Linked DNA regions of Pelodiscus sinensis. The protein of the gene in region 3 binds, or shares a complex with, the protein of the main gene of each other region. Links are inferred from orthologs where the notes say so. Each region holds a gene or a part of one and is shown on either strand. Other genes may lie near its edges.

The links.
Region 1: TMEM17 (region 3) and TMEM216 share a complex: the UniProt entries of both Homo sapiens proteins name them as parts of the tectonic-like complex. The link is inferred for Pelodiscus sinensis from reciprocal best matches to the Homo sapiens genes TMEM17 and TMEM216.
Region 2: TMEM17 (region 3) and B9D2 share a complex: the UniProt entries of both Homo sapiens proteins name them as parts of the tectonic-like complex. The link is inferred for Pelodiscus sinensis from reciprocal best matches to the Homo sapiens genes TMEM17 and B9D2.
Region 4: TMEM17 (region 3) and AHI1 share a complex: the UniProt entries of both Homo sapiens proteins name them as parts of the tectonic-like complex. The link is inferred for Pelodiscus sinensis from reciprocal best matches to the Homo sapiens genes TMEM17 and AHI1.

Annotation. Positions count from the first base shown.
Region 1 is NC_134714.1:125,525,287-125,532,590, reverse strand, and holds the start of TMEM216 (transmembrane protein 216), read right to left. Parts: upstream 3,091-7,304; 5' UTR 2,956-3,090; coding exon 2,943-2,955; intron 2,418-2,942; exon of another isoform or gene 2,310-2,417; coding exon 2,208-2,309; intron 1,425-2,207; coding exon 1,332-1,424; intron 967-1,331; exon of another isoform or gene 966-966; coding exon 764-965; exon of another isoform or gene 302-763; coding exon 286-301; 3' UTR 1-285. Other genes in the region: TMEM138 (transmembrane protein 138), read right to left, coding at 6,506-6,618, 6,946-7,021. UniProt on the Homo sapiens protein: Part of the tectonic-like complex which is required for tissue-specific ciliogenesis and may regulate ciliary membrane composition.
Region 2 is NW_027465992.1:84,045-91,353, forward strand, and holds the start of B9D2 (B9 domain-containing protein 2), read right to left. Parts: upstream 3,080-7,309; 5' UTR 2,937-3,079; intron 2,881-2,936; exon of another isoform or gene 2,830-2,880; intron 1,652-2,829; 5' UTR 1,648-1,651; coding exon 1,560-1,647; intron 1,375-1,559; coding exon 1,249-1,374; intron 491-1,248; coding exon 177-490; 3' UTR 1-176. UniProt on the Homo sapiens protein: Component of the tectonic-like complex, a complex localized at the transition zone of primary cilia and acting as a barrier that prevents diffusion of transmembrane proteins between the cilia and plasma membranes.
Region 3 is NC_134713.1:185,703,685-185,711,350, reverse strand, and holds the start of TMEM17 (transmembrane protein 17), read right to left. Parts: upstream 3,059-7,666; 5' UTR 3,001-3,058; coding exon 2,892-3,000; intron 1,810-2,891; exon of another isoform or gene 1,508-1,809; coding exon of another isoform or gene 1,450-1,507; intron 488-1,449; coding exon 384-487; intron 1-383. UniProt on the Homo sapiens protein: Transmembrane component of the tectonic-like complex, a complex localized at the transition zone of primary cilia and acting as a barrier that prevents diffusion of transmembrane proteins between the cilia and plasma membranes.
Region 4 is NC_134713.1:96,668,465-96,675,844, reverse strand, and holds the start of AHI1 (jouberin), read left to right. Parts: upstream 1-4,119; 5' UTR 4,120-4,309; intron 4,310-7,380. UniProt on the Homo sapiens protein: Involved in vesicle trafficking and required for ciliogenesis, formation of primary non-motile cilium, and recruitment of RAB8A to the basal body of primary cilium.

The DNA.
Region 1 (7,304 bases), on a different chromosome or scaffold from region 3:
CCCTTCTGTCCCCCTCGGCATGGCCCCAGATAGGGGTGGTGCCTGGGCACAAGGAATGGCTGCTTCACATGGTACCAGGTCTGGGAAGTGAATTAAAGTCTCTTTCCAAGCCGCTGGGCACCCCGGCGGTGGCTCTCTGCCTGGCCGGGGCTGATGCAGAATGAGGCTGCAGCTGGATCTAACGCCAAAGGACTGAGAGGCTGCCATCAGACCAGCCATGTAGGGAGCGAATGTGTGGCCTCCGGCCCCAGGCAATGTGTAGCCTTGTCTGGCCTGGAACAAGCCTCAGTACGAGTCCACCCTAGAGGGAGATAAACAGCAATGAGCCTGGCCATCACTAGCAAACCTGTGGTAGCTTCCAACCTCACCCTGAACTGGGCTCTGGCTAAGGGGAGCTTCCCTCACAACCCTGGGCAGTCCTGTCACCCCACTGGCTTCTCTCTCTCAAGAATCTGTCCTCATCCTGGGGAGAGGCAGCCCATCAGAGGAGAGGCATGCAGGTGAGGAAACAAGCAGGGGCAATCGGGAATGGCACCCAGAAGTCCTGATCCCTAGGCACATACAGGAACTGCCTGTCTTGGGTGTCAGCACCATTTTCTCTCCCCACTTTGCCCATCCCCTATTTATGCCCGCTCCAGCCCCAGAGCTTGTTTTCACCCTGAGATCCAGTCTCCCTCCCAGCCAGTTTGTGCACTCCAGCCCCTCTCTCTGCCACTCAATCTTCCACTGCCTCCCAAGGCAGGAGGCAGCAGGGGAGGGGTACCTGGAGAAGGAGGCCAGGGTGAGGATGCCCAGGAGCAGTTCGACGGCATAGAAGAGCAGCAGGATGGCGTTGAGGATGGCCTCCAGCCGCAGGGCGTAGGTCTGCAGCAGCAGGTAATAGGCTGCCATCACCGCTGCCGGGAATGTCAAGGCCAGGCTGATGGAGAGCGGCACCTTCCGCTGGCACAAGTTCCCTTTGGAGCCTGCCACATGGCACAGTGTGTGAGGCAACCGCTCCCCACCCTGCAGGCATCCATGCATGCAGAGTGCTGGGGAATGGTTTACACAGCCCTCTCCCCTTTAGGGAACAGGCTCCAATTCAACCCCAGGCAGGGGGCTGGGAATGGGACAAGGGCATTTCCTTTCCAGGGATCTGGCTCCAATCTGGTCTGGGCGAGGGGGCTGGCTGGCTCAGGCAAAGAGCTCTCCAGTTCTAGGCACTGATCCATCTCCAAGTTGTGAACAAAAGGGAGTTGTACTGACTGCTTGGCAGTCCACTGAACTCAGGGTACCAGCCTGGGCAACTTGCCTTGCTGTTCCAGAGCTGGCCATTAGTCCTAGGCACTCACCAAAAAATATCCGGGTGACTTCAATGCCGAGATAGAGGAAGAGCATGACCAGATCCAGGGCTAGGTTGGCAGAGGGGTATGGTAACAGCAGCCCTAAGGACACAAAAGTCACCTGTTTCAGGAGGAGCACAAGACCCTCAAACTTTCCCGCAAGTCTCATGGACAGCCCTAGAGAGGTCCAGCAAGGACACAGACAGGCTCATCTAAAGGTCCCAGTCCTTGCCCAGTAAAATGTTAATGACTTCTTTTTACACCTCCTTGTACTAGGGTTGTTAAATATTTGTTAACCAAATAGTCGATTAACCTCATGAGTTCCTATCGGTTAGTCAACTATTCTATAGTCTCCAGGCTGGGGCTGGCAGCCAGTGCACTCTGGCCCCACTCCCGAGGAGCCCCCTGCTACCACACGCTGCTGTGTCTCTATCAGAGGCAGCAGCATAGGTTGCCAGGTGGGAACTGCCTGCCACGTTGTACTGCTGCCTCTGATACAGAACTGAGCCGGGCTGCCTGGCATCTAATACGTTTTAAATGCAGAGCCAGAAGGGGGTAGGTCCCGGACCCAGTGCAAGCCAGGACTGAGCCAGGCTGCTGGCCAGCCTGCTAAAACATTTACTGGCAAGGGGCAGAAAATGCATGTAGTCTGTAGTATTAACCTATAAGCTTTTGCTTATTGGTTAATTTACTGTACTATTACAACCCTACCCTGCATCAGATGCAGCCCTGCGAGGGAGTGGGGCTGGCCAAAGCGTTTAAGTCAAATGACACTCCCCTGGGCTTGTCCTGGGATACCTGATGCCACAGCCCAGACAGCAGCCCCTGCTGCTAAAGGCAGTTCCATGGCCCTGGTGATCTGAGATGGCAGCCGAGGGAACTCACCTTTATAGACAAATATGAAGATCTCCAGGAGGAAGTAAGTGGCGTAATACCACCCATTAAGGAAGAGCAGGATTTCCAGCGGGGTGGAGGAGAGCTGACGGCCTGGGGGATGAACAGCATGAGTGGGCAAGGTGCCACTCCCCAGACAAGTCTGCTGGCCTCAGTCTTCTCCCAAAATGGGCAGAGGAAGCCAGAAGACCCTGAACTGCGCTAACGCCAAAGGTGAAAGTGAGTGAGTGTCGCCCCAGTGCCCTTGGAGCAGCCCAGCCCCCAGCTCCCCCATCTCCTGCCCTGAGCCCTCCCACTCCTTGGCCTGACCCCTGCGCTGGCTCCGTGCATGGGGTGGGGCAAGGGGAGGCAGGTGCCCCCCCCCATGGTGCCGGGGTTGGGACACATGCGCCCCTCCCCCCCCAGGAAAGGTCAAAGGCCACCCCCCTCCGATGGGGCTCACGTGACACCGCCCTGCCCCCCCCCCCGGAGGAGGGGCATGTGGCAGCCCCAGGGAGAGCAGGGACGTGGGGTCACGTGGCGCCCCAGCTAGCGGAGGGGGAGGGGGACGGACCGCCCCGAGGGTGGGAGATGGGGAGGTCACGTGCCTTTCCCACATGAATGAGGGTCACGTGGCGCCGCCCCCCCCCGCGCTCGGTGAAGGCTCCTGAGGGAAGGGGGAGGGGGAGGGGGAGGGGGGAGGAATCCGTAACCGCCCCCGCTCCTCTCCCCCAGCCCGGCACTTACTTCTGAGCGCCATCTTCCATCGCCATGGAAACTGTCACCCAGCGACATCGCTTCCGGGTACGCGGGCCGGCGAAGCGGAAGTGCGGGGGCCAGAGCGGCCGGTGCCCTGCGCCGCTCCGTCCGGCTCAGCCCCGCCGCTCTATGGTGCTGGAGGACCCGCCGGGCGCCGCGCCGCGAGCTCAGCCCGAGGCGAGCGAAGACTCCGCCCCCAGTGCTGGTTTAAAGGGGGAGGGGGTGTCTCGTGCCCTACCCCGCCCTCTGGCTGCAGGAGCTGGGGCGCTGTGCTCCCCAACATGAGCATGTAGCTCCCCCCCCCTATGGGGACCTGGACCTGGAGCCCTGAGCTGCAAACCCAGCTGAGGCTGTGGAGCTCCCTTGTTCTCATCTCTCCCTGCCAGTGGTCCAAGTGCCACTACCTGGGACAGCGAACCACACTAGGGCTAGGGCTACACTCGCAGCTTCTTGCACAAGAACATCTTGTGCAAGGGTTCTTGTGCAAGAAGTCTTGCTCAAGAAAACATCCCCACTGCCATGTGCGAGCGGTGCTTTTGCGCAAGAGCGCCCATGGCAGTGTGGATGCTCTCTTGTGCAAGAAAGCTCCAGTGGCCATTTTCTTGTGCAAGAAACCCCTGCCGAGCGTCCACACTGCCCTCTTGCGCAAGAGGGCTTACACCTGTTAAAAAAGAGCATAGCTCTTGCGCAAGAAGCCCTCTCTCACTACGCTGTACTGTAAATCTTCTTGCACAAGAGAGGGTGGGCAGTGTGGATGCTCTGCAGATTCTTGCACAAGAACCTGCCAGTGTAGACATAGCCTAGCTGGGTGGGCTACAGTAGCAGTTTTCAAGTACCTGAAAGGGTGTTAGCAGGAGAAGGGAGAAAAATTGTTCTCCTTGGCCTCTGAGGATAGGACAAGAAGCAATGGGCTTCAATTGCAGCAAGGGAGATTTAGGTTGGACATTTGGAAAAACTTCCTGTCAGGGTGGTTAAACACTGGAGTAAGTTGCCTAGGGAGGTTGTGGAAGCTTCATCACTGGGGATATTTAAGAGCGGTTTGGAAGGGCATCTATCAGGGGTGGGGAACCTAAGGCCAGGGACCAGATGCAGCCCCCAGCTTGCTTGGATCTGGCCACCAAGACACAGGGGAAAGTGAAGTGTCTTTCTGCATCTTAGGTTTTTTTTCCTTCTCACTTGTGTGCAGCCCCCAACTGATTTTTCTGTGGGTCTGCAGCCCCTGACCCAAAAAAGGTTCCCACTCCTGTTCTAGATGGTGGTTGGTCCTTCTGTGAGTGCAGGGGGTTGGACTAGATCTTTCCAGGTTCCTTCCAGTTCTATGAGCCTATCAAAGAGTTAACACTACCATTGGCTCTTCCTCTGATCTGGGGGCTCATGGCTAATATTGGGGGCATTACATGGTACACACTCCCTTCATTGTCCCATATGAACCCTGATTTCCCATCAATTGCCAAACAGCAAGGCTGGTGACTACAGTACCACTGGCACAGCTTCTGATGAGTCCCTGCCCCCTCCTTCAGCATCCCAACCCTACTCCTCCATTGGTGTAATACCCATTGCTCACCAGTCCAGTGTTCCCTGTAAGCTGAAAATCAGGTGCCACCCAGCTAATTAGCAGAGCACCCAGTCAGCAGCATGTGTTTCTACTGGTGGTGCACATGTGTTTCTACTGGTGGAGACACTTAACAAAATGTATTCTGCATATGGATGAAAAAAAAAAAAGAGGGAACATTGCCAGTGACCCCCCCTTCCTTCTCCCCAGGCAGCATAATGGGGTCATCGTCCAACAGTCCTCTCCACTTCCCCCCATGCAGTGCAGCCCCACAGCCTGTCTGGAGAAAGGAAATAACATGGTTCTTCATTATGATATTTATTTCTAACTCCTGAGCTGTACTCCCTCTGCTACCCAGGCCCTTTCTCCTCGGGAATAGGCAACTTGGAAATAAAACAGTGCTGAAAACACAGTGCATTGGCAACCTAAAGGGAACCTGAGCTTATTTCTAATCTGAGCTCGTTAGGCTAGCAAGTGCTCCATGTTCTTGCCCTGCCAAGCAGGGCAGCAATTTTGCAGATGTCCACAATGCCCGCACCCCTCCCCAGCCCAAAGTCACTTCCCCACCAGCCTAAGGCTCTGGGAGGGAGTTTGAGTGTTGGGTGCAAGGGAATGAGGTGCAGGACATGCATGCTTTAGGAGGGAGGTGAGGGGTTGTGCTCTGAGTGTGGAAGAGTATCTGGGCTGCAGGCTTTGGGCAGGAGTCTGTGTGCTTGCGTACAGGCTCTGGGCTGGAAGGGAGAATGCAGGAAGGAGTAGTCTGGGAGTTGGAGGGAGTAGTGGCGGTGGGAGAAAAGACTGGGGAGGGGGTGGGGCAAAGGAGGAGTGCAGAGGGAGGGGTTGGGGTGCAGTGCTTACCAGGGGCACTCCTCTCTGGCAGTACCATCCCGGCAGCTTCCCATGGACCACACAGGAAGGGGGCAGTGTACAGAGACACCTCCCCTCTGTGGAGCCGCATGTGCCAGCAGCCACATGGAACAAGTGGCCAGAAGCCACTGTAGCCCTGCTGCACTGCCACTGGTAGTGGTGATGGGGGGGCAGTTTTAAATTGCCCAAGGGCTGCAGGTTGGACTGGGGAATGCTTCAGGGGAGGTCCACAGAGATGGCAGGTGGGATCAGGGACAAGACCCAGGAACATTCCTAGTGCCCAGACTCCATGTACCCATATAACTCACCACCCATGCTTCCAAGACTGAGTAGCATGGGATACATGGGCTGTATGTTACAGTGCCATTCCCAGTCCACACCTCTGCCCTGGCCTTTACTAAGGCTCTGCATCCTTCAGATGCAGAATGGCAGAGGAAATCAACCCATGCAGTAACACCTACTGTGCAGATGGCACACATACTGCTAGTCAGGGTGACAGGGTATGATCTTATTGTCTTCTGCTTAGATTGTCAGCTCTTTTGGGGCGGTGACCATCTTTGTTCTGTGTTACTATAGTGCCTAGCTCTGCAGGGCTCTGATCCATGACTGGGGAATGACTAAACACCACAGGCAGCTCAGCAGCTGCAGGGAGGGTGTCCTGGCCACTGGGCTCCTGTCCCCAGTAGAATTAGCTGCAATGTGGGCTAGGACACAATAATGCTGGAGCGAGGGGGAGCATAGTGGGGCATATGCCCTCAGTACAGTACAGGGCCTGGGGAAAGGAGGGTGCACCCAAAAAATGCAAACACACAAGGAGGTTTCTGGAAAAGGGAGCCAATTTACTGTCTCATAACTTATAAAAATACGCAGGTACAAAAGGAAGTTCTACCACCAGGATAGAGTTCCCACAGGTACAGCTAGGGCAGGCTGAGTCCTGGCACCTCATCCCACCAGATATGCAAAGCAGAGCTGAAAGGGGTTGATACCAACAGGACCCCATTGGTCAGCCGGCAAGCAAGCTGTGTGTAGGGCTGGGGGTGGACTGTTCTGGATAAAGAGGAAAGGGGGCTTTGTGCCAGCCAACAGGGAGCAGCCACGGACCGGCCATGGCTCTGGGTCCGAGGGGAAGCCATCAGCTGCGGATGTGAGCAAACTCCTTGCGCAGCCATAGGGAGTCCTGGTAGAAGCGGGGGTCACCCAGGTGCAAGGCCGTCCTCTTGTAGAAGTAGCAGTACAGCACGGCCGCTGGGGAAAGCAAGAGGAAGATGAGACAGCTCAACCCGTTCAGAATGTCTTCACCCCTACCCCCTCCTCTGTCTGCTGGATCACCCCAGTGTGTCTTGCTGACCACCAGGGCAGGCAGAGCCTCATCGAGATCCAGCCCCCATGGGAAGGGTTTGGTACGGCTCAGGGGAACAGAGATGCCATTCCTTAACAAACCCCAGATCCCAGCCTGGGAGACAGCAGGGAAGGCAGATGGGGCCAGCTTTCTGGTAGCTCTCCCTGAGTCTAGGTGTCTGTGGGTGGTTGCTTGGGGGAGTTGAAGGGTCCAGAGCGGAGCTTGTCTCTTACCCAGCCGCTGGAACACAAAGAGGGCCTGCAGCCCATCTGTCCACACAAAGCGGGTGGAGTTTTTCCAGCGCAGGTTCTGAAAGAGATAGAGGGGCACAACGGACATTAAGGGCAGGAAACAGATGTGAGAGCAACTGTGCAGCCCCCCACAGAGCTCAGCACACTGGGTCCCTTTACCCACTTCCTTGCTCCTCTCTCCCAGGGGCTGCTCCATTCTGTCATTTCCTCCAGATCCTTAATGGGAAGCAGCTCCCTATGTCCAAAGGGTTAGAGGGCTTCCCCTAGTGGCCATGGGGGAGAAATGCACTGTCACTGTGGTCCACTTCCTAGTCTAAAGCAACCCTGCCCACCAAGAACAA
Region 2 (7,309 bases), on a different chromosome or scaffold from region 3:
ACGGTGGGGTTTCATACGGCCTGCAGTGACCCACCTGCCCCCCAGCGCCCCGCCCCACGGCAGGGGCCCCTCCATTCCTCTGCCCCCCAGCAGGGGCCCACCTGCCCCCCAGCACCCCAGCAGGACCCCCTCCCCACCTGCCCCCCCCAGCGCCCCGCCCCACAGCAAGCCCCCTGCTAGCACTCCACCCCGTAGCGGGCGAAGTTGCGCAGCAGCACGCCCAGCTGTAGGTGCACGGTGCCGGCGGCGACGGTCTGCAGGCGGTACCGGTCGGCCCCCGTGTAGATCAGGTCGCTGTTCAGCAGCTGGGGCCCCCCGCCCACGAAGAGCTGGGAGAGCCGCTCCTGCCAGGAGCCCAGGGGCTGCCAGGTGGCGCAGGCCAGCGCGTGCCAGCCCGGGCTGCAGGGCACGTGGCAGAAGCCGTAGCCGTACAGCTCGCTGCGCCCGAAGGCGTCCTGGTGCCAGACCTGCACGTGCAGCTTGGGCCAGCCTGGTGGAGAGAGGGGACCCGTCAGAGCCCCCAACCCTGGCACTGCCTGGGCCAGCACCCCGAGAGGGGATGGGCCGCATGCTCCATGCCCCGTCCCATAGGAGCCACCAGCCTTTCTCCTGCAGCCGGGACAGGGGGACGTGGGGCTGCATCTGTCCCCCTCCAGGACCTGCCTTGGGGGCTGAAAGGAGGGCAGAAAACCCCAGATCACTGGGCAACAAACCGCCTCTGGGGGTTCTGGACAGGAGGCAAAATGCCTTTCACTGAGAGGAACTCGCTTTGCGCTGGGCCTGCAAGGTTCCCTCTCAGCTCCTCCAGCCACTGCAGGGCTTTGCCACCCACGCGCGGAATAATTTTATGCTGTACACGGGGGCACGTGTGGATGTGCACCACCAAGAGAAACAAAACCTAGCGGTGGGCGCTCTCCTCGCCGGCTGGGCAGCGCCGGACTCTCTCCTGAGCAGTGGCACAGGCGCCCAGCGTACAAAGAACACCACCAGCCAGCGCCTTTCCCCATCTCCTGGGCTGTCTGTCCCGTGGGGACAGGGACACAAGACCAGGGCTGAAACCTGTGTCCAGGGGGAAGTCTGCCCTGCCCTGCCCTGCCCAGCCTCCGGGGGCCACCCAGAACGTGGGGGGAGAGATGGGCCCCCTGGCAGCCACCTGCCCGTACCACTGGCCCTGCCCCCAGGCCGGTTCGGAGATCCAGGCACCCCGGACAGAGGGGGTTGGCCCTGGGGCCGGCGGCCCCCGCTTACCCTGCAAGCCCTTGGTGGCGAAGTGCACGTCGATGGGGTGGGACCAATAGGCCACGTCGTCCAGCTGGGGGTGATCCACCTGTGTCTGCCCCTCCCGCAGGCCGGAGAGCAGCTTCCAGGCGCCGCCTGGGGGGGGGGAGCATGGTCAGCGAGGGGCTCCCAGCCCTGGCTCTAACCGCTAGGCCTGGGATAGAACCCACAAGACTGGGCCCCCAGTTCTCCAACCCGCTGGCTCTGGCTCTGGGCCTCTCCAGCCCGTTCACCGCAGATGCCACCCCCCAGCCTCGCGGGTGCCCGTGGCTCTGGCTGACCTGTGTGGATTCCCCACTTGCAGAAGAGGCTGGAGCGGGGGAAGCCGCTGGCGCCCACGAGCTGCCCGATGATGTGCACTTCGGCCATGGTCCTGCCGCGGGCGACCCAAGAGGGGGGTTAGAAATAGAACCCAGGAGTCCTGGCTCCCAGCCCCTGCTCGCTCCCTAACCACTAGCCCCCACTGCCCTCCCACCGCCAGAAAGACCCCAGGCATCCTGACGCTCAGCCCCAGCTCTAGCTCCTTCCCAAGGAAGCGGCACCGAGCTGCCCTCCTTGCGGCGGGTCCTTGGGGCACCTGCCCCACAAGGGCTGAAATTGCTGGGGGCCAACCCGCCAGGGACCCGCCGCTGGGCTGCTGCAGCGGGGCAGAGCCCTGGGCAGCTGAAGGTCCGGCCGCCTGCTCTGGGGGGGCCGCGGGACCCGCCTGGATACCCGGCTCCATGCCCGGCACGGTGCTGGGGGGGCGGGCGCTGCAGACCAGCCCCTCCCCGCCCAGTGGGGGCTGCACCCTTGTGGGGAGACCCCCGCCCCAGGGCAACCCCCCTCTGGGAGCAGCACCCCTGAAAGGCAAGAGACCCCCCCCACTGCTGAGACATCAGCACCCTCGGGCCCCGCCCCCACTGGCCACGCCCCTCCTTCACATCGGGCCCCGCCCCCACTGGCCACGCCCCTCCTTCACATCGGGCCCCGCCCCCACTGGCCCCGCCCCTCCTTCACCCCGGGCCCCGCCCCCACTGGCCACGCCCCTCCTTCACCCCGGGCCCCGCCCCCACTGGCCCCGCCCATTCTCCACCCCGGGCCCCGCCCCCACTGACCCCCGCCCCTCCTTCACCCCGGGCCCCGCCCCCACTGGCCCCGCCCATTCTCCACCCCGGGCCCCGCCCCCACTGACCCCCGCCCCTCCTTCACCCCGGACCCCGCCCCCACTGGCCCCGCCCCTCCTTCACCCCGGGCCCCGCCCCCACTGGCCACGCCCCTCCTTCACATCGGGCCCCGCCCCACTGGCCACGCCCCTCCTTCACCCCGGGCCACGCCCCCATTGGCCACGCCCCTCCTTCACATCGGGCCCCGCCCCCACTGGCCACGCCCCTCCGTCACCCCGGGCCCCGCCCCCACTGGCCCCGCCCCTCCTTCACCCCGGGCCCTGCCCCCACTGGCCCCGCCCATTCTCCACCCCGGGCCCCGCCCCCATTGCCCCGCCCCAGGGCCCGGCCCCCCCCACGTGTGTCTCGGGGCGGGGACAAGGCGCCGGGCGCGTGCTCAGCTCACACCGTGTAACGGCGGGGGCCGGGAAGGGCAGGCAGGAGCGACACCAAACGCATGCGCACTGCGCGGCCACCATCCCACCGCCCCGCCCTCCCTGAAGAGCTACAGACCCGCTCGCGCCACGGGCCCGGCTCCGCCGCGCGCCGCTCGCGAGCCCGCGGCTGCTACGGCAACGGCGGCGGGCTCCTCCCCAACGCCGAATCCTGATTGGCTGGCGCAGGGGCACGTGACGGCGCTTGGCGCAGGCCCCGCCCAGGAAGACGACAAGAGTTCGCCGCCATCTTGACTGTGGCAAAGAGAGTCGTGAAGGCGGCGCCATCTTGGATGGGTCATGACGGGCCGGGGACGCCGCTATTGGGCGGAGCAAAGCCCTGGAGGCAGCCATCTTTGGGAAGGGCAGCGAGCTTGGCAGCGTGGGGGCTGCGCTTCGTGAGAGCACCGTGGCAACAGGGGAGGGGCATCATGGGAACACCATGGCAACGGGGGAGGGGCATCATGGGAACACCATGGCAACGGGGGAGGGGAATCTGGGAACACCATGGCAACGGGGGAGGGGCATCATGGGAACACCATGGCAACGGGGGAGGGGAATCTGGGAACACCATGGCAACGGGGGAGGGGAATCTGGGAACACCATGGCAACGGGGGAGGGGCATCATGGCAACAGGGGAGGGGCATCATGGGAACACCATAGCAACGGGGGAGGGGAATCTGGGAACACCATGGCAACGAGGGAGGGGCATCATGGCAACGGGGGAGGGGCATCATGGGAACACCATAGCAACGGGGGAGGGGCATCATGGGAACACCATAGCAACGGGGGAGGAGATTGTGGGGCACCATGGGAACGCGGGGGGGGGGCACTGTGGGAGCACCAGGGCTGAGCTCAGGGCCTGCCTGAGTCCAGGCCCCAGCCCCGCCCGTCCCAGCCCGTATCTGATGGTCGAGCTGGAGCCCAGCAGACCGAGCGCCAGGCACCAGCCGCTGGGCCGCTGGCCTTCCCGGCCCCCAGTGCCCAGCGCGTTGTCCAGAGGGAGACAGACCCTCAGCAAACGTAGGCAGCCACCCCGCCCTGGATCTGCCAGCCTGCATGGACCAGCCATCCCCCGCCCCCGCCCACAGCCAGACACAAAATCTGACCCCCTGCTCCAGGCACTTCACCCTCCACCCCCGGGCCACGCCCTGCGCACTGCTGGGCCTTGGACACTCAGCAGGGACGAGCCACCGCCAAGCAGAGACCCCTGCAGCACACCCAAGGGGCACCTCTGACTTCGTTCACTCAGCCCTGATCTAACCCAAGAGCCAAGCTCGGTGGGTCCTGCACTGTGCTCGGCCATGGTGACATCTTGTGGCAGTGAGTCCCACAGGCCCACCCTGCCCGAGAGCACCCGTTACGGAAAGAGCCCCCTGGGCCCTAGCTGGGTGGCCATTAGGGTGACCAGGTGTCCCCATTTTATAGGGACAGTCCAGATATTTGGGGCTTTGTCTGCCTGTGGCCACCCTGCGTTTTCACACTTGCCACCCGACTGGCGACTGGCTACTGCTGCAAAGAGGGCGGGATCAGGCAGAACTGAAAGTGCTTCACAATGCAGTGGAGGGGGAAACTGAGGCACAGAGAGCGCATGCCCATAATCGTGGTGGACATCAGTGGCGGAGCTGGGGAGAGAACCCAGGAGTCCTAGCACCATCCTCTCCCCCTTCAGCTATAACCACGGGCCCTTCCTGCCAGATAGCAGGCACCATGTTGCTCTCTCCTGGCATCATGGGCCCTTTGCTCTAGCGTCCCTTGGAAACCTGCTGTTTCCAGCCCCCCACGGGCTCCGAGCAGGGTTCTAAAATGCTGGCGAGAAGCTGAGAGCACAGGCGCCTAATGCACCACGCCCCGTCTGCTTCCCAGCACAGGGCCCAGGCGGGGGGGCACCAGCAGGCTGAGCCTGAGCCTGGTCCAACTCTGGCTGGATCCCCACTAGCCCAGCTTTGTGCCTGGCTAGCCCCACCCGGCGTGAGGGCCAAGGTGGGGGGGGGGGACAAAACCAGGCTGGTTCACACCCAGACCAGGCCTGTGTCCTGGTGGCTTGTTACTGTCTGGATCCAGAGATGCCCGGTCTGGTCGGCTCCATCGCAAAACCCTTGGGGCAGGGAGCTTGAGTTGGGCTGTTCCCCAGAGAGAGACATGGGATCCAACAGAGCTGGGGGGGTAGGGGCTGCGGGTCGGAGCGAGGGGCACCGGCAGGGCTGGGGGGGCAGGGGCTGGGGGGCAGGAGAGAGGGGCACCGGCAGGGCTCGGGGGGCAGGGGCTGTGGGTCGGAGCGAGGGGCACCGGCAGGGCTGGGGGGGCAGTGGCTGCGGGTCGGAGCGAGGGGCACCGGCAGGGCTGGGGGGGCAGGGGCTGTGGGTCGGAGCGAGGGGCACCGGCAGGGCTGGGGGGGCAGGGGCTGTGGGTCGGAGCGAGGGGCACCGGCAGGGCTGGGGGGGCAGGGGCTGGGGGGCAGGAGAGAGGGGCACCGGCAGGGCTGGGGGGGCAGGGGCTGGGGGGCAGGAGAGAGGGGCACCGGCAGGGCTGGGGGGGCAGTGGCTGCGGGTCGGAGCGAGGGGCACCGGCAGGGCTGGGGGGGCAGGGGCTGGGGGGCAGGAGAGAGGGGCACCGGCAGGGCTGGGGGGGCAGTGGCTGCGGGTCGGAGCGAGGGGCACCGGCAGGGCTGGGGGGGCAGTGGCTGTGGGTCGGAGCGAGGGGCACCGGCAGGGCTGGGGGGGCAGGGGCTGGGGGGCAGGAGAGAGGGGCACCGGCAGGGCTGGGGGCCAATGTCCCCGTGGGGCTAGAAGGAAATCCATGAACAGCAGCGGGTGCGTTTGGCTACAGGACTCCTGGGTCCCCGGTGGCTGCTCCCACCTCCACATGCAAGAGGCGGCAGCTGGGGGGTGGAGGGGGGGGCTGGGGCCTTTAACAGCCGCACTCCTGCTTGGTGGGATGGGGGCTGATTATGCAGCAGCCATGACATTGACGTCCGACCCCCGCACCTTGCGCTGACTAATGGATCCCCCTGTGGCTGGCCCCCCAGCCCCCAGCCCCCTCCCTCAGCCACACGCTGGCACCTCTCTCAGGGGCGGGGGTCGCTAGTCCTCCCTTGCAGCTGGGGAAACTGAGGCACGGAGCACGACAGTGACAGGCCAGGATTGGGACGCTGGGTCTCCTGAGGCCCAGTCTAGGGCTCTGCGCACTAGGCCTTGCTGCCAAGCTTCCCCCCCCGCAGCGTTTGAGAGCAGCCTCAGCAGATGGGGAGGAGGGTGGGAACGGAGGGGGGAGATAGATGCAGAATGGGGGGGAACTGAGCTCCATTGGGGCCTGCAGGGCTGTGACCCCTCTGTGACCCCCAAGCCCTCTGGGCAACTCAGCCCTAGGCCCCACGTCCCCAGCAAAGGGCAGGAACCGGCAGCGCCTGGCACAGGGGGGGGGGGGGGAGGGGTCCAGATGCTGCCAAAACAGGGAAGGAAGCAGAAGCTCCTGGTAGCTCCTTCAGGCCCCACAGGGCAGAGGCCCCGCCCCCCATGGTGCCCCCCACCCATATAGCAACCGCCCCACACGGTGCCCCTCATGCAGTGACCCCCCCCACACAGCCCGGTGACCTCCCCCTCACCTGCCCCACTCAGCAACCCCCCCCCCCCCCCCCCCCCCGCCTGGTGGGGCCTTGGGGCACAAGGACACAGTGCACGTGCTGCAGCCTCTCCCTGCCACGACAGACCCGTGGAAGCCTCCCCCAGCCCTGCCCCCCCCCCGCTCCCGCCCGCAGCCCCCCACCACCTGCCTGTTCCCTCCCCCGCCTCCCCCTCGCTCGCGGGCCGCCGATTAGTGATTCACCCGGGCGCTTGGCTCCAGCCCCCAGCGCCGCTCCGCTCCCCGCCCCCCCCGGATCCCCCCCCAGCGCCGCTCCGCTCCCCGCCCCCCCCCCCGGATCCCCCCCAGCGCCGCTCCGCTCCCCGCCCCCCCGATCCCTCCCCCAGCGCCGCTCCGCTCCCCCGCCCCGCGCACCCCTCCCTGCGCCGCTCCGCCCCCCGGCCCCACGCATCCTCCCCCAGCGCCGCTCCGCTCCCCGCCCCCCCCGATCCCTCCCCCAGCGCCGCTCCGCTCCCCGCCCCCCCCCCGGATCCCCCCCCAGCGCCGCTCCGCTCCCCGCCCCCCCCCGATCCCTCCCCCAGCGCCGCTCCGCTCCCCCGCCCCGCGCACCCCTCCCTGCGCCGCTCCGCCCCCCGGCCCCACGCATCCTCCCCCAGCGCCGCTCCGCTCCCCCCCCCACGCACCCCCCTCGCTCCCCTCCCCCAGCGCCGCTCCGCTCCCCCCCCAGCGCCGCTCCGCTCCCCGCCCCCCCCGGATCCCTCCACCAGCGCCGCTCCGCTCCCCCCCCCCGCCCCACGCACCCCCTTCGCTCCCCCCCCAGCGCCGCTCGCTCCCGCGCCCCCCCGGATTTCCCCCTCCCAACACCGCTCC
Region 3 (7,666 bases):
GAGAGGAAGAAAGTAAGAATTCCATGGGGCTGGCATGTGCTATTGCTATTTTATACAGCTCTACAGAAGCTCATGGAATTTGCATTCTGGAAATTCATGCAGCACTGTCAATATTCCTGAAAGTTGACAAGCCGTTGCCCCTGATTTTTCAATCTGCCACCCAACCAAACCTGTCACTAACTCTGTCACAAATTCCTGCACCTCCAGATACTCAGACATTTCCACTAAGCTATTGCACTCTATTAAATAACATTTGCCATGTGTGGGTTGAAGGAAATGAGTAGATGGGCTGAGTATTATATTACTCTTGCAGACAGTGTAAGGAAATAAAATTCAAACAGGCAGCACAGATGTTGTAGGGGATAAGTCCCCTCAGGACTTACCTTCAGCTGGAGCATGACCACACTGCTTACCCACCAAAATGGGAAAAAGTAAAGGTTGAAATAGAGGGACATCTGCAATGGCAAACTGGCAACTATTTCATTATCTAGAGAGCGAGAGAAATCATCATCACCCAAGGTCTGTATCAGACATTATATTTCCTACATAGAGCAGAGAAAGATGCCTCTACTTTAAGAGAACAACTTCAACTCATTAATGGTTGGATTCTGAGATCAACCAAGTTCATCATTAAGCATATGTCAAAGTGGCCAGAGGAAGAATTTTTCTACATAATTCCCTACCGTATTCTAAACAATCTAAGTGTGATGGGAGTATACAAAGAAATAAGGAAGGTGTTAAGCAGAGGAGGTGCTCAAAAGGAGAGCAATAGACAGTGGAGGTGAACTGACTTGTACTCTTAATTCCTGATGCCTGACTGTAGCAATGTGATAATGCTAGGCCTTTTTTTAATGGGACTAAGTGACCATATATATTTGATTATACTCAAATTAAAACTGATCTCTACAAATCAGAACGCAAGCATGCTGATGGAGAAGCTTGCATCGCTTGGTCTCCATGCAATCTTTCTTCTGCACAGAAAATTCTAGACTCCAGCAATGTCAATCCAATATGCTTTTTAAAAAGGGGCAAATTTGAATGTACATTACAGAATGAGGAGTTACAAATCAAACACTATGAAGAGAAGAAAATTAGCTGCTAAACCTCAGAAAAACAAAATACTGACCCTTGGAATACTATGTAGGAGGTAAAGTTCTACAGTGTTTAGAGTTTGCATGTAAATTCCAAAAACAAAACAAAAATATACAACCAGACCCAGATACAAAATAAGTCCTAAAAATGAGAACATCAGGAATGGTTTTGTTTCAACTGACAAGTTTCCTTCTTTCTTTGTCCAATGGATTGATATCACATTAAATCTACTTGAATTAATTATCAGTAAACTGACTGTTGGAAGTTCCCCCCCATTTCTCAAAGTGCAGCCCATAGAAGTATCCACAAGTACCATGGGTTTGTGCATGTGGAAGTTCCTCCTTATGATTGCCTCACCTGTAAGTCCTGTTACGTGTCCCTGGTTCAGCAGATCCAATTCAAACACCCAAACCATCAGTTACATGTGGTGGCAGTGAGAGTCTGATTTATTTTACGTCCTGGAGTGCTTTGTGCTTTTCAGATGAAATATGCTAGGTGGTGGTATAAAATATCTGGCAAGTTACACCGAGTGCCTGGCTGAGTGTGAAGGGATGGTAGTATTTTCACAGAAAGGCACAGAGGCTACGTCTAGACTGGCATGATTTTCCGCAAATGCTTTAAACAGAAAAGTTTTCTGTTAAAAGCATTTGCGGAAAAGAGCGTCTAGATTGACACAAACGCTTTTCTGCAAAAGCACTTTTTGCGGAAAAGCATCCATGCCAATCTAGACGCGCTTTTGCGCAAAAAAGCCCTGATCGCCATTTTTGCAATCGGGGTTTTTTTGCGCAAAACAAATCTGAGCTGTCTACACTGGCCCTTTTGCCCAAAAGGACTTTTGCCCGAACGGGAGCAGCATAGTATTTCTGCCAGAAGCACTGATTTCTTACATGAGATCGTCAGTGTTCTTGCAGAAATTCAAGCAGCCCGTGTAAACAGCTGGCAAGTTTTTCCGCAAAAGCACCCGCTTTTGTGGAAAAACTTGCCAGTCTGACACAGTCAATATGTTTTGCCCTGGGCTGATGTCCAATGGCATCCCAACTGGTTTAATAGTTTGTGGTGCTTTTCTTAAAGCCCCAGCTTCTAGAGTCCTGGGATTGTGAGAATCTCAGCTTTTATTTTTTAGAGCTTCCGATCCTTCCTGGCTGCTAAGAAAAGCTGCCACAACCAAAGAAACAACCATCCCAAAGCAAACCCCTAATCATGCGAAACCCAAAGGCAAAGACCCCATAGTCCTCGTTTAAATCTCAGGATTTTGATGAGGGCCTCTTGAGCTCCAGGGGGGATGCCTGACCTGGGATTTTTGAACGGGTGGGACTGGCAGCACAGCCTAGCTCCCAAGCTGGGGTCTAGCCCCCCAGCAGGCAGGCTCACAGCCTGGGGAGCGGTACCTAAGCCAAGCCGTGGAGCAGGAACAGGGGGGCTGAGGGCGGAGACGATGCATTAGCGCAGCTCTCACTCCCGCGAGCCCGGGGATGCTCTGGCACCCGCAGCCCCGGGGACGCCAACGCGGAGCCACGTCCCCAAGCCACGGCGCAGCAGGGAGGCCCCGCGCGGCGGCTGCTGCCACCCCTGGGGCGGAGGGAGGGGGGAAGCTGCCGGCGCAAGGCAGCGCGCGCCCCCTTCCCGCCCTTTGAGCGCGGGGACGCGCTGTCCCATCCGCCCAGTCCTAGCCATAGCCCCGCTACAGCGACGTTGGCGCCGCCATCTTCGTTCCTGGCAGCGACCCTCTGCCCCCCCACCTCTCTCCCTTTGAGGATGCCGCCGCCATCTTTGTTGCGGGCAGCGCAACCAGGCCTTACCCAGGCTGCCGCCGCTCTCTCGGCGCTCCGGGCCGGTGCGGTTGTTGTCGCTGAACACAGACCGGCTAAAGGAGCCGAGCCGCCTCCTGACCGGATCCGGCAGCGCCATGCTGGCCGCGCGAGGGGCAGCCAACCCGCTGCCATGGCAACTAGCGATTCGAGCATGCGCAGTAGCAACCCGCGAAGCCGCTACCCTGACTGTGCCCCCACCAACCCCAGCCAGGGCAGGAAGGGAGGGGTCGCTCCTGTCCCAGGCCCAGGGCTCCTGCTTGCTGCCAGCCCCAAAGCAGAGCCCCAGGCCTATGGGTGGGGGCCAGTGCCAAGTGTGACAAATTGTGTACAAGAACTTATTTCCCCATTTTATAATCTACTACATTTTGAAATTCCAATATTTGCATAGAAAAATATAGCCTGTGATTTCAAAACACATGTAGAAACAAGTTTAGTCATTAAATCATATGTCTAGCCAGGTTGCCAGATGGTTTCAACAAAAATACTGGACACACTTGACATGACATCACAATCCACATTTCATCTTATTTAGAAAATACTGGACACTTATAGTTCTCAATTTGTTTCCTGAACAGAAAGTTAAAATACTGGACTGTCTGGTTCAAAACGGGACGCCTGGCAACCCTCTCTAGCCTTTCCCCCCATGCTCTCTGGCAGGGCACCCCCAAGAGGGCATCCCTCTGTGACGGCGCGTTGGGGGTCCCCCGTCTCCTGCACCCCGAAATGGCACAAACAGACTGCACCAGCCGGTGGAATAGAAGAAGTTTATTGCCTCTCCAGGATACAGCACAGCACAGATGTAATCTGGTCACAGAGCTGGGCTAGGATGCCTCAGGCCCCCTTGAGTTGGGGGGAGACTGGGCCCCTAAACTCCAGCCCCTCTCCCTAGGCTGTCTCCTCCATGCTCACAGACCGCAACTAACTAACTCTCTTCCAGCCCTGCCCCCCAGCCAGGGCAGCATTCCACCTTCCTTTGTTCCTCTCCATGGGGGGTGTCTGGCCATACTGGTTTGCATAGTGACTCATCCTGTTTTGCTGGGTCGTGGTACCCACGGGAGCCAGTGGGGGTTACCCCAGAGCCAGCAGCATAGAAACCAGCCAGGTACCCCCACTACGTCACACCCTCCCTGCCCAGTATTCCCTGGGCCCAACTGAGCCTGGCATGTGGCTGGTTGCAATATGTGGCGTACCCACCATGGCCATCCCACAGCCTGTTTTTTTCACACAATGTCCTGCTGACCCAGATTGGTCCTGTTTTGGGCAGGGGGCTGGACTTGATGACCACCTGAGGTCTCTTCCAGCCCTATGAGTCTATGATTCTATGACTAGGGATGTAATAAAGCAGTCGATTAACCCTTAAACCGATAAGCAAAAGCTAATAGGTTAATGCTATAGACTACACACATTTCTCTCCTCCACCCCTTGCCAGTAAATTTTTTAGCAGGCTGACCAGCAGCCCATCTCAGTCCTGGCTTGTGATGGATTTGAGACCTACCCCTGCTGTGGCTCTGCATTTAAAGTGTATTAGGAGATGGGCAGGCGGTAGGGGTGCCACATGGTTTCAACAAAAATACCAGACACACTTAACATTACATCACACTCTACATTACATCTTATTTAGAAAATACTGGACATTTATATTTTCTCAATTAGTTCCCCAAACAGAAAGCTTAAATACTGGACTGTCCAGTTCAAAACCGGACACCTGGCAACCCTAGCAGGCAGGCAGCCCGGCTTGGTTCCGGCTCATGCTGGGTCTGGGAGTTCAGACCGATCCCGCTCCACCCCCCTCCACCCCCCCCCCCCCCCACACACAGGGGCTGCTGACACCCTGCACTGCTTCCTCTTTATGAGAGGCAGCAGTACAGGGTGACAGGCAGCTGATCCACAAGGGGAGCTGTTTTTTAAACTGGAGCAGCTTCCGTCTGGCACCCTGCGCTGCTGAGTGGCAGGGGGTTCCTCAGGAGTAAGGCTGAAGTGAACTGGCTGCCAGCCTCACCCCCTGGGGCTATAGAATAGTCAACTAACTGATAAGAATTCATGAGGTTACTTGACTATTTAATTAACCCATATTTAACATCCCTACCTAAGACCTGCTTTCAGGGCACCTGAGTCCTTCCAGTTTTCTATATATCCTAAAAGTTTTAAAAACAAATGGTCCAGGAAGTACTGCAGTACTGAGTAGGAGTCCGGTGCTTAAGGCACTAGTGCAGCGGAAGGAGCATTGGATGGGATGAATGGTGTTAGGAGTGGAGAGTATAGCCCACAGTGGATTGAACTGTAAGGCCCATCAGCTGAAGAAGTATCATGAACGTGCACTCTAACTTTAGTAGAAAATGCACTGCACGCTTAAGATATTTCCCCGTGTTGCTTTTGAGTGAAAAGCTAGCAGCAGTGACACCGATACATATTTTTAAATTACTTTTGAATGAGTATTTCCTTACCTTTAAAAACGTTTTTACAAAAGTGTCCTGCTTTTAAAAAAAATTTTTTTTTTCAAAATATGGTCACCTTAACCCCACATACATGAGATTCACCAAGATACACAGGGCCCAGTCTTCTTGGAGGAGAGTGGGGAATCCTGCAATATAAATTATTGTCCCCCTGGACTGCAGTTGATGATCAGTTTTTAGGAATTTTGGCAGGATTTTTGAATTATTGTAGTTTTAACCTAACTGGTGTAACTGCAGAGTGAATTCATATAAATGTCAATCTATTTTAAAAAGAAATCCTACCAAACTGTTTCCCTTGATAATATTCGAAAGATGAGAGTTCTACAGAATAGTTTAATGTTGGTAAAAGTGTTGACACCAATTTTCTTTCACAGGTTTTCCTTGAATAAAGGAAATAAATACAGGCAGGCAAGACCTTATTCCTTGAAGTGCTCAAAAGAGATTTAGGGGAGGAAGAGCTTGTGGGCAGTTCAGAGGAAGCTAGAGTAATTCCTGAGTGGTTGGAATTTGTACTGAAAGTGGTTGGAAGTTGCTATCAATTAATTAAAGTTGACACGGTAGTTAAATGTTGTTGCACCCATTTTACGGAAAATGCCATTAGAGTTTGACCCTTTGAAATGTGATGTTAACCTTCTGTTGAAATGATTCAATATAAGAAGAAAGGTAATCCAGTCTATCTACATGTTCCTCATAAAATATCAACTAGAAATTTTAAAAGAAAAACATATGATAATCGCTCATTTCTAGAATCCAGGAATCCTGACTCTCAAAACCTCTACAGACTAAATAAACTGCCCACAGAAGCAAATATAAATGTTAAGGAGTAATTCTAAAGCTAACTTTATATTTGAGGAAACATCATTAAAGGTGTGTGTCTCAGGACATTAGAATATAATTTTAATTGAAGTGTCTGAAACCTCATTTCATCATCGTTACCTTGGTCTTGGATAATTTAATGCATTTTAAAATATTGGTTCAAAATCCTTACCACTGAATATCCCTATGAAAGGAGCAGGTATGCATAAAGTAAAAGTATGGCAGTGAACTTATGATTAAGTCAGATCTTCATGGAAGTTCTTCCCACATGGCGTGTTGGTAAGTCAAGGTTCCATCTTAAAATAATTTACTCCTTTGGGATTTTCCAGTTGATTACTTAAATTAGGGAGACCTTTTTTCTTGTCAATAACAAACGATATGCTGCTCCTTGGCTAGACACCATGCAGTCACTCTGCACAGATACTTAGATCTCTCATTCTATGTTTCTAATTTTATAGGCCCAATTCCGCCAATCTGTCAGGTGTGAAGTCTCTAGTCACATGAGTATTTCCTTTACAGTGAATGGGACTTGTCACACAATAAAGTACTCTTGACATAAGGAAGATTTGAAAAATTGGGCTCTCAGTTCCCCAAAATAGTGGGAGGTAGCACAGCTTATCAATCAGTGAAGTGGCAAAATTGAGCTGCAAGTAAAGGAGAAAAGCCAGTGGAAGGCAGATACTAAAGAAATCCATGGATTTGCTATGTGCACTTGGTTTCCACATTCAGGATATGAATCTGTGATATTTGACAGGGCAATGTGTTCAGCAGATGGCAAGCATCCTACCTGCCCCAGTTAAAAAAAAGCCTCATACCTTTGTTCAATATTTAATTTTCATGTATATGCATACAATATTCCCCATAGGTAGAATATGTCTGTTTTTCAGCTAATCCAATTTAATTGTCCTTGGGCTCATGCAACCATCTATTGTGAATTTAATGAACAGGAGACTTCATTTTATGGAGTGTGTTTTTAGTGAGCAGATTCTTTTGTTTCAAGCAGAAAGGGAAGTTATATTTTTAAGGAACAGAGCCTGGGGAACAGCTGAACTGGTAATTTAGTGCTTTATATAATAGTGAACCATAAGGAAAGGAAGACCATTAAACTGCACGTGACTGGAACAGATCCGGTACTCATACAGATGGTCATCATAAATGTTCAACTTTTATAGAAGTCCTGGATATTCATCTCTTTCCTTTTTTTAAATGGAAAGGAATCCCCATTCCTGTATTTCTTCATGTCTATCCACCTCTTAATGGATGAGGCACAACTACCTAGAGATTCCAATTCTTTATGCTTTGAAATAAGCTACTGGAATGAGAAACTTCTGCACGTTGAAGAAATAAACCCTTAATTGCACAGTATTTTAAATTACTGTTTTATTTCTCTCCACACATGCTAACTATAAATAAAACAAAAGTCCCTGACAATCTGCCTGTGAGCTTTAAATCAGGAATATTGGATCTCTGTGTATCCACAATTGTCCGACTAAA
Region 4 (7,380 bases), about 89 Mb from region 3:
CCACCGACTCCGGCCAGTAGGGTGCCCATCTCTTATTGTGAGGGTGAGTACACTGATTTTGGCTGTTAGGCCACACTATTCTGGGATCCAGAGGAGGGTCATGCAGACTTGGTTATGGGCATATAATAATCTTTGTCTCATCCCATAGCATAGGGAGATGAGACATGCATCATCTGCGACACCATGGCATCCACAAAACGGGGAGAACAAAGGAAATGGATTGGGACTGGGGGAAGAATCCTGACTGAAAGAAATTGAGCCAGTAGGAGTGCTGAAAAACTTGATGAGAGAGACAACTGAAGACAAGATGGAGAAGATGCAGCTGCCTTTTCAGAGGTGTAGCGAGGGTGTTATGCGCCCAGGAGCAAAGGAGCCAAGCAACCCAGCGCCCTTACAACCGAATCGCCTCCTTCAGAGCCAAGCAAACCAACACCCCCCCCCCACCAACCAAATCCCCCTCCTTCAGAGCCAGGCACCAGAAGACCCAGTCAGTTAAGTTCATCTTACTTTTAAAAGAGGCCACTCCTGCCAGCTGCCTCTGCTCACAGTGTGTTCCGGGTGGCAGCACGTGGCCCAGCTGCCAGCTCACTGATCTAAGCGTCAAGTGGGCCTGCGTGGTGTGTGCTCTGCTCCCACCCCGGCCCGGTGCCCCTCTAGCATGGCACTGGGGGCAACTGCCCGTTCCTGCCCCCCCCCCTTCGCTACACCTCTGTGCCTTTTATATTCTTTTTGCCATGTGTCTTCTACATCCTCTGTCTCAAATACAAACACATAGTTTGAAAGCCTTAGAGTTCTGTCCATAGAAATGCCCCCCGGCCTCATGCTTTATGAAAATTAGCTTATTACTATGAATATGCATAATGCAACATGCAACATAAAACATCATGTAACAAGTTATCTGCTGAATATGTATATTCTATTTGTATGTATCATGTGAAGTTAGAAGTATGTAGCTTTATGTAAGTCCAAATCATAACTTGTCTTAGAAAGACATGTGACCGTGCCACCAGCTCTAATATTAACATGTTCTGACATCTTGTGGCAAGTCACTTAAGGAACAGTTGTTAATCTTAAAATATTAATATGTATCCTTACTTTGTTACCAACTTTGCAGGGAGACACACAGTCAGGACTCTTGGGCTCTAGCTCAGCTCTGGAAGTGAAGTGGGGTCTAATAGGTTACAGCTGGGGGCAGATATATTTGGCATCTATATAAGATCAGAATGGCGATCAGACTAATGATCCACCTAGCCCAATTTCCTCTTTCAAAAGTGGTCAATGCCAAGTGCTTCAGAAGGCATGAGCAAAAGAGGCATTTTTCAAATGATCCAACCCGTTGCCCATTCCCAGCTTGTGGCAAAAAGAGGCTAGGGATGCCATCCCTGCCATTCTAGCTAGTAAACATTGATGGACCTATCCTTCTTGAACTTATTTTGTTCTTATTGGAACCCTGTTATAGTTTGTGTCTTTTCACCATCTCCTGACAAATACTGAAGAAATATCATCATAATCATCATCAACCACCATGGGCTCAAAGCCCGTTAGTGTCCAATGCCTCCCTCACTATTTCCTTCCATCTTTCCCTGTCCAGTGCAGAGTGGCTTAGTTTCTGTAGACTAGCTCCGCAACAATCTACTATATCATCTACCCATTCTCTGTGGGGTCTACCTCTCCTATTCGCACCATCCATTATGCCAAATATCAGGGTCTTAACTTTTCGGTCGTCGTTCATTCTGCAGATATGCCTGAATATCTGTAACTTCCGTTGTATAACCTTCTGCAGTAGGTTCTCTTTTGGCTGTATCTTCCTATATAATTCCTCATTGGTAATCTTCTGCATCCATTCTATTCTCAGGATCTTTCTATAACACCTCTTCTCAAACACCAATATCCTTCTCTTTGAATCTTTCATTATCACCCATGTCTCACATCCATACAACATGCTGCTAAATACACACATTTTGTTTTAACTCTGTCTATAAATTTAATTGGGTGAACTTCTTCTGTTATGTTAGTGCAGGAATAAGTAACATTTCCTTATTCTATTTTTTACACCAATCATAATTTTCTAGACATCTAACACATCCTCTACCCTTTAATATTTTCTTTTCCAAGCTGAAAAGTCCCAGTCTTGTTAATTTCTCTTCAGATGGAAATCATTCCTGTTGCCCTTCCTGTACCTTTTCTAAATCCCATATATCTTTTTAGATGGGTTGGTCAAATCTGCACACAGTATTCAAGATGTGGGCATACCATTACTTTATATAGAGGCAATATAGTTTGTCTGTTAGCCTTTCCTAATGAATCCCAATATATGGTTAGTTTCTTAGTTTTTAGACTGCCACTGCACATTGAGCAGATTTTCAGGCAACTATCCACAATGATTCAAAGATCACTTTCTTGGGTAGAGGCAAGCTATTTTAGACCCCATCATTTTTGTATGTACAGTTTGCATTATATTGTTCAATTTGCATTATTTCGCATTTATCAACACTGAATTCCATCAGCCTTTGTGTTGTCCAGTCACCCAGTTTCGTGAGATCCCTTTGTTACTCTTTGCAGTCAGCTTTGGCTTTACCTATTTTGTGTAATTTTGTAGTATCTGCAAATTTTGCTACCTCTCTGGCTCTCTCTTTTTCAAGAATATTTGTAAGTGTAAAAGTACAGGTCCAAATGTAAATCCTAGCAGTACAAAACTCATTCCTAGGGATGTCAAATTTAGATTAATTGGCTAATCAACTAGTCAACACAATTTGCATCAACTATTTGATTAGCCAATATGGGTGTCTTGCCTTTGAAGTGTAGCAACACCCCCCACAGTGCCAGTAGTTTCCTGCTAGCCCCATGCTCCCAGTGGTGTTTCAAAGCAGCAATGCTACAGGGAGCCCAGGGTTAGCAGGGGAAAGTGAGGGGCCCCTTCCACTGCTGCTTTGAAGCACCTCCTCCTCTTTCCCCCGTTACTGCCTCTTTCTCATAGAGGCAGGGGGGGGGGGGGGAGTAACTAGTCAATTAGCCTGTTAGCTAGTCATTCACATTCCTCCTCTTTTCTTTTCTCCTATCTTTTAAGTACTAGTCCCCAACTTACAAACACAGCGACGTACGACCCGCTGCACTCACAACCAACTTCCCATTAAGCACGGCCCCGATTTACAAACAGCAATCCACGCTTACGAACAGCACGGTCCCATTGAAATGAATGGGGTCCAACTTATGAACACGTCTTTACGACCAAGTGCTTGGTGCTTAACTCGTTAGTGAGTTGGGGACTACCTGTAGAGTGCCTGGCCATGTTTTCATGAAGATCTAATGAGCTTAATTACTGGAAGGCCCAGCCTTATGCTTAAGCACCTGCCTCCCTTCTTTTTATAACAAACTCCCTGCCCCAAAGGCAAAGCTGCGAGCAGCTCAAAATCTCCTTGCGTTTAAGAACTGCCTCTGGGAGCAGGACATGCCGCTTTCAAGTGACCTCAAGTTTGAAATCCAAGGGGTCTAACTTTAAGGAGGGGTCTCTGGCGCCCGCGGCTGAGGGGCCAGTTCTCCACTCCTAAGCCAGGTGGCGGGCTCTATTGCAGGGAGCGCGCGAGTGAAACTGACCAGACCCCCGGGCAGGGCGCCATGGCAGCAGGGAAGGGCCGGGCAACGGGCCCGCTGGTTTCAGCAGGAGCCCTCCCGTCGCTTACTAGGCTTGGGGCAGGCCCAGAACGCCCGGCCCCTCCCTTCACTCAGCCAGCGCGGGCGGCCTCGAACTCGACCCGTGCCAAGGCCAGAACCGGCGGCAGGGCCCTTAGCCTGGCGCACGGGGCGAAACCATCTCGGCGCCCTGCACGCTGGCATCAGAACGCCCCACTTCTTGCGCGCGCGCGCCACGTCTCGCCCAACTCCTTCCCCTGCCTCAGTCTCAAGCGCATGCGCCTTGCCCCTCCCTCCCGCAACGGCCTCCCTTAATTTTAAGTAGCGCGTGTTCGTGCCGTCTTCAGGACTCAGCAGTGACGCGTGTGTTTCCGTTGCATTTTTGGTGGGGGGCGGGAGGGGAGAGTGACCTCCGAAGAAGTCCCGGATGTGCGTTCCCCTATTTCCTTCCCGGCGTGTAAAGCGATCATTCAACACGTCGCGTCCCGCTGTCAGCGCAGGCGCAGTTTGCCAGGCGTTGTTTCCTTGGCAGCTGACGCTGTTGTTTGTTGTCGGCGAAACTATAGCGCGCGAGGCGGCGGAGGGGGATGAGGGAGAAACCAAGTGGCGGCGGGGGGGGATGGAGAAGGGACCCGCCGCGCCACTCCTAACTAGAGACGGTGCAAGAAGCCCGGCCGAAGTGAGTGAGAGCCGCTGCCCTGCGCGCGCTGGCGGGGAGGGAAAGTGGGAGGGGGCGGAAAACTGGGTCTCCACCCTGGACGCGTCCCCACGCCCGAGCTCGGCCCCGATCCTCGCAACTGCACCCGCGTCCCTGGCGGCGGGAGGCGCTGGCCGGGCGCTGCTGGCCGAGGCACCCGGGATGAGCCCGGATGGGGGGGTGCAGCGACTCCCGCGGGCTAGGGCAGCGCTCGCACTTTGCTGCCTCCCCTGGGCCCTGCGCTTTCCCAGTCCTGGGGCAGGACTCCGTGGAGGCGCGTTTGTTCAGCGTAGGGATGCCTGGCACCGTGGGTAGCTGGTGAAGGGGGGGAGGACTTGGGGAGACAAGCCCCCACCCCACCTGCAGCCCCGCCCCTTCTGCTGAGGCCCTGCCCTTTCCCTGCCCACATGGGGAGGTGGGGCAGCCCAGCCATGGGGAGGGGGTGGCTGCTCGCCCTTGTCTCCCCTAGCTGTGGAGTGCTGCAGGGAGGGTGTCGATAGGGGCAGCAGCGCTCCACCCCCAGAAGTCCTAGCGTAGACGTTCTGGGAGCCGAGTGTAGGTGGGGTCAAGCCTGGTGGTTTGAGAAGGTAAAGCCTTCCCCTGCCTTACATACCGGATGTCCATTGCTGGCGCCACCCCCATAACCTGGGCTGTGGGGCATGAGGCTGGGCTGTCCAGAGCTGTTCTCCTGGCCCCAGATAATTTCCAGTGAATGAATGGCTGGCAACGCAGATTATGCTGCAGAGCCAATGTTTTAATAAGGCTCTGGAGATGGTCCTGGCTGTTACAGTACAGGGCAAAGTAGTTGAAACTAATACAGAACTGAATTATGAGACACATCGGTGAACACGGTTTGAAGAAGAATCAACATGGCTTTTATCAAGGAAAATCACGTCTTGCCAATCTGTTAGAATTATTTGAAGGAGAGATGTGGGGAGGAGAGGGGGGATCAACAAACATGGACAAAGGTGATCTGGTGGATATAGTGTATTTGGGCTCCCTCACCAATGGTGCTTGAACAAAATAACCAGTCATGGGATAAAAAGGAAGGTCTTGTCCTGAATCAGTAACTAGTTAAAAGATAGGGGGGAAAGGATAGGAATAAATGGTCAGTTTTCAGAAAGGTGGAAAGTTAATAGTGAGGTCCTCTAAAGACCACTAACTGGGTGGTAGGGATATAAAGTCCCATTTAATTAGTTAACAAGTTATAATAATTGTTTAACCAGTTAACCGATTACATGGAGGGGGCCTCCCGCTTCAACCAGTTAAGTGTAGCAAATGGGTGAGGCTTACCTGTTAGCCGGTTAACCATCCACATTCCTACTGGATGTGAATTCACATCCCCACTTTCAAAGGACAATTAAACCATTAATTTTTGGTGGAGAAAACATTTTGAAGGTCTTAATCGTAATTTCATGGTTGCAGATGAAGTTCTTGGGCAAATCCCTCAAAGACCTAGGAATGAGCTTGGAGACTCTCCCAATTTGCATGAGATATACAGTGCCATTAAGCAGATGAAGAACAACAAGACAGCAGGTCCAGATGGGATCCCTGCTGACAACTTTAAAGATAGTGGACCAGAGTAAATTCAGCAGCTAAGCTTGCTTATCCTGAAAATCAGGATAGCAAGTGAAATGAGGGACACCTTGATTGTTACCCTTTTTAAGAAAGGGGATAAAGTGGCCTGTGGAAACTATCATGGAATCTCTCTCCATGCTGTTAGAGGCAACATTCAGATCCTTGCAAACTATCTTTTGCACCTGTCAGAAATTTTTTTACCAGTGTCCCAGTGTTACTTCCGACCATACTGCAGATATGATCTTTGTTGCATGACAGCTAAAATAAAAGTGTCAGGAGCAAAACCAACCACTGTACTAGGGATGTTAAATATCAGTTAATTGAATAGTCAAGTACAGGCAGTCCCCGGGTTACGTACAAGATAGGGACTATAGGTTTGTTCTTAAGTTGAATTTGTATGTAAGTCGGAACTGGCTCCAGATTCAGCTGCTGCTGAAACTGATCAGCGGCTGACTACAGGAAGCCCTAGGCAGAGTTGATCTGCCCCCGGCTTCCTGGAATCAGCCGCTGATCAGTTTCAACAGCGGCTGAATCTGGACTCCTGGGACAGAATAGCTGGGGCACTGCCGGGTAGGTCCCCGCAGGACCAACCCGGCAGCACCCCAGCTGCTCTACCCCAGGCATTCCGCAACAAAAGCCTGGTCTGCTGGGGGGTGGGCGCACTAGCTGCTTCCCCTTCCCCCCCAGCAGACCAGGGAGACCCGAGCAAAGCCACGGAGGCGCAGAGGTCCCGCCGCCTCTGCGGCTTTGCTCCTGTCTCCCTGCTGTGCTGGGGGAGTCCCCCCCAGCACACCAGGGAGACCCGGAGCAGCTTTTCTCGCCCCAGAGGACGCGGTGGCGGGACCGCTGCGCTCTGGGCGGTCCTGCCGCCCGTGAGCTCCGGGGCGAGAAAAGCCCCGTTCGTAAGTGCGGATCCGACATAAGTTGGATCCGCGTAAGTCGGGGACTGCCTGTAACCTCATGAATTTGTATTGGCTACCTGACTATTCTATAGTTGCTGGGGAGGGAGGGGGGGTTACAGCCAGTGCACTCCAGCACCACTCCTGTGGAGCCCCCTGCCACTTCATTCTGCTGCCTCTGTATCAGAAGCAGCAGCGCAGGGTGCTTAGGTGGGAGTTGGTCCACGAGGGGAGCCAGTTTAAAAACCTGCTCCCCTCGTGGACCGTCTGTCTGTCACCCCCCACTGCTCCCTCTGATAGAGAGGCAGCAGCACAGAGTGTCAGCAGTCCCTGTCCAGGGGTCTGAGCTCCTGGACCCAGCACGAGCCGGAACTGTGCCGGGCTGCCTGCCTGGCTCCTAATATACTTTAAATGCAGAGCCTCAGTGAGAGTTGGTCCTGGATCTGTTGGCCAGCCTGCTAAAGAATTAACTGTCAAATGGGGAGATGGCAGGGGGGAGGGGGAATGCATGTAGTCTGTAGCATTAACCAGTAAGCTTTTGCTTGTTGGTTAATCGGTTAATTGACTATACAATTA